2 linked regions of the Oryza sativa Japonica Group genome follow. The protein of the gene in region 1 binds, or shares a complex with, the protein of each later gene. Links are inferred from orthologs where the notes say so. Each region holds a gene or a part of one and is shown in the gene's direction. Other genes may lie near its edges.

The links.
Region 2: protein RTF1 homolog (region 1) and WD repeat-containing protein VIP3 share a complex: the UniProt entries of both Arabidopsis thaliana proteins name them as parts of the nuclear PAF1 complex. The link is inferred for Oryza sativa Japonica Group from reciprocal best matches to the Arabidopsis thaliana genes VIP5 and VIP3.

What each region holds. Positions count from the first base shown.
Region 1 is NC_089046.1:21,992,663-21,997,406, forward strand, and holds protein RTF1 homolog, read left to right. Parts: upstream 1-1,655; 5' UTR 1,656-1,828; intron 1,829-1,954; 5' UTR 1,955-1,976; coding exon 1,977-4,022; 3' UTR 4,023-4,416; downstream 4,417-4,744. UniProt on the Arabidopsis thaliana protein: Component of the PAF1 complex (PAF1C) which is involved in histone modifications such as methylation on histone H3 'Lys-4' (H3K4me3). Involved in regulation of flowering time.
Region 2 is NC_089045.1:28,461,550-28,465,615, forward strand, and holds WD repeat-containing protein VIP3, read left to right. Parts: upstream 1-1,266; 5' UTR 1,267-1,348; coding exon 1,349-1,696; intron 1,697-3,057; coding exon 3,058-3,681; 3' UTR 3,682-3,898; downstream 3,899-4,066. UniProt on the Arabidopsis thaliana protein: Component of the PAF1 complex (PAF1C) which is involved in histone modifications such as methylation on histone H3 'Lys-4' (H3K4me3). Involved in regulation of flowering time. Required for the expression of the flowering repressor and MADS box gene FLC.

The sequences.
Region 1 (4,744 bases):
CATAGATGTGGCTCACTGCGCAGTATGATGTTATCAGGAGCACGTAGCAAATTGGAGTTCAAGTATGCACACATTCCTGTGGCATTGGAGGCTACAATCAAGGTCAGGATTACAGGAGGTTCAACTGATTTCTGTGGAAAGTTCATTGCACATACTGCTAGTATCAATGAACATGTCATATTGCTGGACTCTGGGGAAGAAATGGTGGCTTTCTCCCATGATGGAGCCATTCATTTCTGCCGCAGTGTAGTTGCAGTTGAAGGAAATGGCGGAGCGTTGATTGTTGATGTTCATGCAAGGCAAAGTGGTGATGAGAACATCAGCTGTGCTTCCAAAAAGTTTATCCCGGTAAGATGTGGATGGAGTCGTGACACACTTGATGTTGGGTTTTGCCGGATGAGCGTTGAGGTTTCTTGGTCGCTCATGTTTTCATATTGAGAAAAGCGTAGGCCCTGATAATATTTTTTGCTTGCTGTGACTGAAGCTGTTTGCTCCACGGCATTGTAATATGGCCATGTTTAATATTCGTTGTAAATAAAATTTTCAGTTTATAGCTATTGAATTGTAGAGTAGTCAGTTGCTAAGCACAGCTTCAGAAGAAATCACAAGATTAGTTAGGTATACTTAGGTTAGCCTGCAATTGCTAGTGCATGGTGGAATTATAGGAGGATTCAATGAGCCCTGCACTAGTGGTCTAGTGGATGAAACCAACTTTTAGGACTGAATTCAATATTTTTCATACTTAAACCTTGTATCCATAATAGTTTATTTTGTACTTTGTTTGTTGATCTATATCTGAAATAACTAGAATAGTTCCAATGTACATTCTCTTTCACTCTGGTTGAATGCAGATTGCATCCTTTGTTGAAGTCCCTTAACGACCACACAAACTAATATTGCACTAAAAGTTACCGTATGCAATACGGTAATACTAAAACATAAACTAACAATCACTATTTTATGAAATAGTATCACTGAAACCAACATTTTGGTGGGGTTGGCAACGTGGGAAAACGTAGATTAAGGACACAGAAAACAAAAAAAAAAACATCAGCTTATGATTAATTGAGTTTTAATTATTGCAAATTTTAAATAGATTTATTTAATATATTAGAACAACTTAGCAGTTTGAAAATCGTGCTAATTGAAACTAAGTTAGAATCTGAATATTACTCAGGAAAGAACGGGGCCTTTGTGATGACAAAATTTGAATCTATGCATTATAATTTCAACAAGTATTTCAAATTTGACTAGTTACTAATACAATGCATAACCTTTTCAAATTAGAATACAACTTATGAAAATCTAAGACATAGAAAGAACCTGTTTGACGGAGTTTAGGATTAAGCAGTTGGTTATTTTCTGGATTCTATAGTTACAAATTCTTAGAATCGGGAATAAAATCTAGGCTGTTTGGGGATCTACAGCTAGGGAGTTTGATTTTTTAGGAGAAACTGCAACCGTTATAAGCTCCCCAAACGCTCCCCAAACTGAACCATACTGAGATAGTAATGTGACAACATTCTTCTTCTTCTTCTTCTTTATTAAAAAAAACACAAATCTCATTTTACAATGTGATTCATTGGGCTCTCCCGGCCCAAGGGCCCAAGAGTAAAGCCCCACAAAAAAGCCCATAACTCCAACCGAATCTCCTCACAACCCAACTTCCCCATCTAGGGCCAGCGCACTCTCCTCCTCCCCTCCTCCGCCGCCGTCTCCGCCGCCTCCAGCCATCGATCCCGGCGAGCCAGCGACCGAGCAGGCCTAGCCACCATCCTTCTCGCCCCCCACCGGCGTTCGCCGACTCTGTTCTTGCTGCTGTCTCGAGGTGAGTCTCGCCTTCCCCCCCCCCCCCTCCCTCTCTCTCTCTCTCCCCTCCGCTGTCCCAGATCCCGGATAGGCTCGCGTTTCTTGATTCGATGGTTGATGGATTTTGGTTTGTGGAATTGTGCAGGAGAGTTGCTGTTTGATCGGCCATGCCGGACAACAACAACCTCGAGGATCTGCTGCTGCAGGCGGCGGGGCGGACGACGGGGGCGGGGAAGGGCGGCGGGGCACGGGGGCCGTCGTCGGGCCAGGGCCAGCGGTGGTCGTCGCAGCAGCAGCAGCGGGGGAGGCGCGGGTCGTCGTACTCCGGCGGGAGCGGCTCGGACGACGACGGCGGCGGCGGCGGCGACGGGGGCGACTCCGACGACTCCGACGCCGCGCCGACCCTCTCGAGGAAGCGGCCGCCGTCGGGGTCGCAGGTGCCGCTCAAGAAGCGGCACCAGCCGGAGAAGGGCGGAGGGAGAGGTGGTGGTGGTGGTGGGTGGAAGGAGGGCGACGACGATGACGACGACGACGACGACGACGAGCTCGACGAGGGGAGGCGCAGCGGCGATGACTCAGACAGCGCGCCGTCGGTCGGGAGCGACCTGTACAAGGACGAGGACGACAAGGAGCAGCTGGAGAAGATGTCGGAGCTGGACAGGGAGATGATCCTGGCGGAGCGCGGCGCGCGGATCGACGACTACAAGCTGAAGCAGCTGGCGAGGGCGTCGTCGTCGTCGTCCAAGGCGGACAAGTCGCGGAGGGACAGCAGCCCTCCGCCGCCGCCGAGCCGCGCGCGGTCGTCGGCCAGGACCGACAGGTCCGCCGCCAAGAGCGCGCTGGACGAGCTGCGGGCCAAGCGGATGAGGCAGCAGGACCCGGAGGGGTACCGTAACAGGTTCAAGGATTTGATCCCGCAGAGCGGCTCTCCGCCGAGGCGCAGGGCCGGAAGCCCGCCCAGCGACGGTAGTAATGATGGTGATAACAGGGGGAGGATCACCGATGAAACCCGGGATGATGAGTTTGATGAATCGCCAAGCAGGCTTGACCCTCTGAAGTTTGACGATGTGAAGAGTATAACCCTCAGGAGATCAAAGCTTGTGAAATGGTTCATGGAGCCGTTCTTTGAGGACCTTGTGTCTGGGTGCTTTGTGCGGCTTGGGATTGGCAAGTCAAAATCAGGGACCCCTGATTACAGGCTATGCATAGTTAGAAACGTGGATGCGAATGACCCTGACCGGAAGTACAAGTTGGAGGGCTACACGACGTGCAAGTACCTCAATGTTGTGTGGGACAATGAGGCTAATGCTGCTCGGTGGCAGATGACTCAAGTATCAGACTCCTTTCCCAGTGAAGAGGAGTTCAAGAAGTGGCTACAAGTGGCTGAGAAGAATGGTGTGCGAGTACCGACTCGGCAGGATGTATTGGAGAAGAAAGAAGCCATTCAACAGGCCTACAACTTTGTGTATTCAGCACATACTGTACAGAAGATGCTAAAAGAGAAGAAATCAGCTATCAGACGTCCTATCAATGTTGCTGCTGAGAAGGATCGGTTGAGGAATGAGTTGGATATGGCCATTGCCAGGAGGGATGAAGCTGAAGCAGAAAGGATCCGTTCAAAGCTCAATCAGCTGCAGAAGATGTCGAAGCCAATATCAAATAATGAGAAGGCTGCCAAGTTGGAGGCGATGAACAAGAAGAACCGTGCTGAGAACTTCAAGAACGCATCAGAAATGAAGCCCGTTAACACGAGTTTGAAGGTTGGAGAGGCTGGTTATGATCCCTTTTCAAGGAGATGGACAAGATCAAGAAATTACTACGCAGCAAAGCCTGAAGGAGAGAGCGCTGAAGTCCCCAACGGGAACGATGGCAGCGCAGTAGCTGGCGATGAAGATACGAAGAACGGGCCGCGAGGTGGTTCAGCAGCCACTGCAGCGGCTCTAGTGGCAGCTGCTGATGCCGGTAAGCTGGTTGATACCAATGCACCTGTAGATCTGGGAACGGAATCGAATTTGCTGCATAATTTTGAGCTCGGTATATCATTGGCCGGCCTGGAAGAATTCGGCGGTCCCAAGGGTCTCTTCGATGGTTACATGGCGAGGAAGCAGAAGATTGAAGCAACCATGGGTTACAAGGTCCCTGACAATGATGGAAGGAGGCATGCTCTAACTCTGACCGTCAGTGACTACAAAAGAAGACGGGGTTTACTCTGAACTTCTCAAGTTATCTGTGCCTCTGCCTGCTGTTCGATGGATTCATCTGCCTCTTTGGCCACAAAGTTCATCAGCTGATCGGCACCATGCCATTGTGACTACTTGTCCAGATCAATTTGCATTTTAGCCTTGAGTGTATGTAACATGATGAGACAAGCAAGGTTACACATTTTCTTTTCATAAACAGGACCTGTATGCCTGAATTGTGTTGATGACAATTTCCGCATTAATATTTGTGGAGTGAGTCCTTCTGTTATTTAGTTTGTTACCCTTGTTGCTCTGCATAAAACATTTATGCAGCGGATATTGGGAGACTAGACTAAGAGGTACAAATATTCTATGTTGTATACTTATATGCCAAAAGGAAAAAAAAAACATGTGTCAAGTTATGAAAGTTCCTAATGTTCCTTAATTAGTTCGGTCTAAATCATTATATCAATGTTGATTATCAGATTCTTATTTCTATACTACAAAATGTAAAAAAGAATAGCAATGGCCGTGATACTATAGCAAAATTTCTACTGGAAGAAGGCAAAGCTTGTGTTGAATAATAAAATCTTGTGTAAGATAAAGCTGAGCATCTGCTGCATTGCATCTCAGGAAGCTTCATAGGCTGGTCTACTCACGAAAGGCATACACAAAAAAGGCTTAATTAAACCTTCAGTACAAAAAGCTAATAAAGAACAACGCATATTTGTCTAGGCACTCCAAATTAGACACAA
Region 2 (4,066 bases), on another chromosome or scaffold:
ATTCCTCTTTTCATTTTCTTGCATCATTGTCATTGGTCCCAAGAATGCGGGATTATTTCCACGTGATATATTTATACCTTTTCCTTGGATTTGAACTTGTTCTCCCTGGAATGGGAGTTTAATCTTGCAATTCATTTTCTTTTCATTCAAAAATGGAATCTATGACATGTTTGGTTTGCTGTTCAACTAACCCTACCAAAATTTAACACTTTTGGTTTGCATTTGGTTTGCAAATTCTGATAGTCTTGAATGCATTTGGTTTGAAACCTTACCAAATTTATTTTGGTATAGCTTTTAAGAACGCAATTTTCTGAAACCACTTAAATTTGATTGGGTAGCGGTAGTAACAATGGGGCTGACAGGATACGCTGGCCGCTGTTGTCTACAGTCGTTTCCAATGCTATCGCAGGCTCGCATCCATAGGCAGCAAACACAACCGAACACGTCTAATATGTTTGGTAATGTCAAATTTTGATAGGGCTCAAAAGTGAGAACAAAACAAGCATGCATTTCTACTACTTTCTTCGTTTTATATAAAAGACCCTTTGATCTTTTCCTAATCAAACTTTTAACCCAAATATATAGTAACATTTTTTTACCCAAAACAAACACACGACCATAATATATTAAAAGTTAGGTTTAACAAAACTAATCTGGTATTATAGATATTATTATTAATTTTTCTATAAACTTGATGAAACCTAAATAGGTTTGACTTAAAAAACAAAACAGTAATATATGAAGATGGACTTGTTATTCGAGGGGGAAATGATAGTATGGGCATTTACTTTTATCAAATGGGCATGCCAAATCAGCCCAGTTCAGCCTATCCTGAAAGGCCCAGTAAAAATGCAGGCCCAATTACTCCTCAATGCCCAATTCTCTTCTTTACAATTATAAAAATTAGATGTTTTGCCGTTATTTATTAATTTATTCATTAGTTTTAAAATACTGTAGAAGTCGTATAAGAAATCTCTTTAGAAAAGCTCTTATGCTAACTTAAAATGATCGGACTCCTAACTGCGACTTCTGATTTTCTTAAAAGAATATACATCCACGTGAATTCTCACAGCTAATTTCACTTTTAACTAAACCGCATAACAATAATAAGATTAAACTAGACTTCACATGTTGCAACAGACGTGCATTTTTTTTTCTATTTTTTTATTTTAAAATCATCTGAAAAGAAAAGAAAAAAAAAGGAAATTTACTAGTACTCGTATCGTCTTCCTCCTCTCTAAAACCCACGAACCCCTCGTCTCTCTCACTCCCCTCCCCAACCAGATCAAACGCTAGGGTTTCCTCGACTTCGACTTCGTCTTCCTCCTCGAGCAGAGCAGCAGCAGAGATGAAGCTCGCGGGGCTCAAGTCGGTGGACGGGGCCCACGAGGAGTCCATCTGGGCGGCGGCGTGGGTGCCCGCGGCGGACCACCGCCCCGCGGCGCTGCTCCTGACGGGCGCCCTCGACGAGACCGTCCGCCTCTGGGCCCCCGACGACCTCGCCTCCGCCGCCGCCTCCCCCTCGCGGGGCCACGCGCTCGGGGTGGTGTCGCTCGCCGCCCACCCCGCGGGCGCCGTCGCCGCCGCCGTCTCCCTCGACAGCTACGTCCGCGTCTTCGATGTGGACTCGGGCTCCTCCGTCGCCACGCTCGAGGCCCCTCCCTCCGAGGTCTGGGGCATCCAGTTCCACCCCAAGGTAGGTGATGATCCTACCCCCCACCCCACCATCTTTGCTTTGCGATTCACATTCTGAGGTTGCTTGACTAGATTCGTTGTGTGGGGGAGATGTGAGAGGCGTGGGATTTCAGTGTGATAATGTGGTAATTACAGTTGATTCGAGCATCATTTCCATCTGTTGTATGGGTTTGTATAGTTTGGAATATGTCTAGTGTGGTTTTTTTTACCTAGTGTAATGTGTGATCTTTTCTCAGATGTTTTAGTAGATTTTAGTATCATTTTAACTGAAACTTCATGACAAAAGTGTGGCCTTGATTGGCACTTTGTGGTAGTTTTATTAGATTTAAAGAAAATAAAGGAATCTAAAAGAATGTTTTCGCAAAGTTAAGGAATATATGCAAAGTGATCATTTCAATTTTCGAGCAGTTCAAATACGCAATTGATGACTGAGGTTTGGTTGTTAAATTCGGTGGGCAAGTCTGACAGTATATTCAGTTGTTACTGCTTATTATCATTGACCACAGTACCTCACTTTTGTGGAATAGCGCTCCTTCATCTCAACACTGCAACAAATTTAGTAATCGCTTTGAAGAGGATCATCATGTGAAGTATGGTGTTTCATGCATTGCTGGCAAAGTGTGTGCAACATTTACTGCATAGTCGCTTAGACTCTGAGAATAATGTTGAATCCTACCTTTTCGATTCTCTTTCAGACTCAGTAAATTAAGCGACAATTAATTGTGTATCCAAACTCATTGGACATATTTTTATCATAGTTACAGGTTTTGCATAGGTCCTGTTTTCATGCTTCCTTTGTATTTTAAAAATTGATTTGTATTCATGTTTTTCACAATATGCCAGATAATTATCTATTTGGGTAACCCACCTTTCTGTGCAAGATGACTAAACATCACTACGCCCATTGCAATCACTGCCAGAAATGGTTTGTCAAAGTAGCGTATCTGTGGTCAATTCATTTTCATATTGCCTTGTTGTGATTCATCTTGCTAATTTCCAGAACATACTATTTTTCTTAAATGATATTTTGGTATGTACTAAACCTTGCTAGAATTGACCTATGGCCTTAAGACATTATTTATTTTCTTCCATAAACGTGTTGATACAATTATGTCTAATTCAATGAGAATCGGAGATGCTTGTTCAAGCTTGTCTTCTCACTTGCAGTTGAGACGTGTTACGCATTCAGCGTTTTCCACTGTGCTATCTCTATATACCTTTGTTGACAGCATATACTAATTTTTCTAAAACCTGCAGTACCAGGAATTAACCTCCTTTTATGGTAGCCTCACTTTACTGAAGGTCTTCACTTGTTCTAGCTACTGACATTATTACCTCACCCACAAATGCTTTCCTTCACAGGGTAGTGCTCTGGCTGCAGCTGGTGGTGGCAGTGGATCAGTGAAGCTCTGGGACACAGAGAAGTGGAAGCCAATTACCAGCCTTGCTGTTCCGCGTCCAGAGGGAGCTCGCCCTGATAAAACAGGAAGCGGCAAGTTTGTCCTTTCAGTTGCATGGAGTCCTGATGGCAAGCTCTTAGCTTGTGGTTCCATGGATGGCACCATCGCTGTGTATGACGCAGTTCGCATGAAGTTCCTCCACCACCTTGAGGGCCATCACATGCCAGTGAGATCAATGGTGTTCTCTCCAGTGGACCCGCACGTGCTCTTCACTGCCTCCGACGATTGCCACATCCACATATACGACGCCAAGGAGAAGAGCCTCATTGGGGCCATGTCAGGGCATGCGAGCTGGGTGCTGAGCATCGACGTGAGCCCAGACGGCATGGCGGTAGCGACAGGCTCCAGTGACCGCACGGTCCGGCTTTGGGACATCAACACGAGGGCGTCGGTGCAGACGATGAGCAACCACAATGATCAGGTCTGGGCTGTCGCCTTCCGACCACCGGGTGGGACAGGAGTCCGCGCAGGCCGGCTTGCCAGCGTGTCAGATGACAAGAGCATCACCCTGTACGATTACTCATAGTTTTAACACTGCAACCTGCAACTTCATTGTAGTCAGCTGTTTCCAACTTGCATTGGAAAAAAAAACCTGTTGTACAATCCTAATTAAGCTCATGAGTTGCAAGTAGAGTGCGTTTATTTCCAGTATTGGCCTCAGAGTTGCAAACTCGCTCCTTATTGTTCTTTTGCAAGTGATCTCAAGTTGTCAGTTTGAAGTAAAAATATCTTCAATTCTAGCCCGATTAAGTGCTTTTGTCACTGGAATTTATAATCTTTTTTTACAGTCCTCATAAGCCATAATGTGAATATGTGTCTTGCCTAACTCTGAGACGCCTCAGTGTTTATATCTGAAGGTAAACATAGAAATGCGCTATAGAAATGCTTCAGTTTTTCAAAGTGAAGCATCA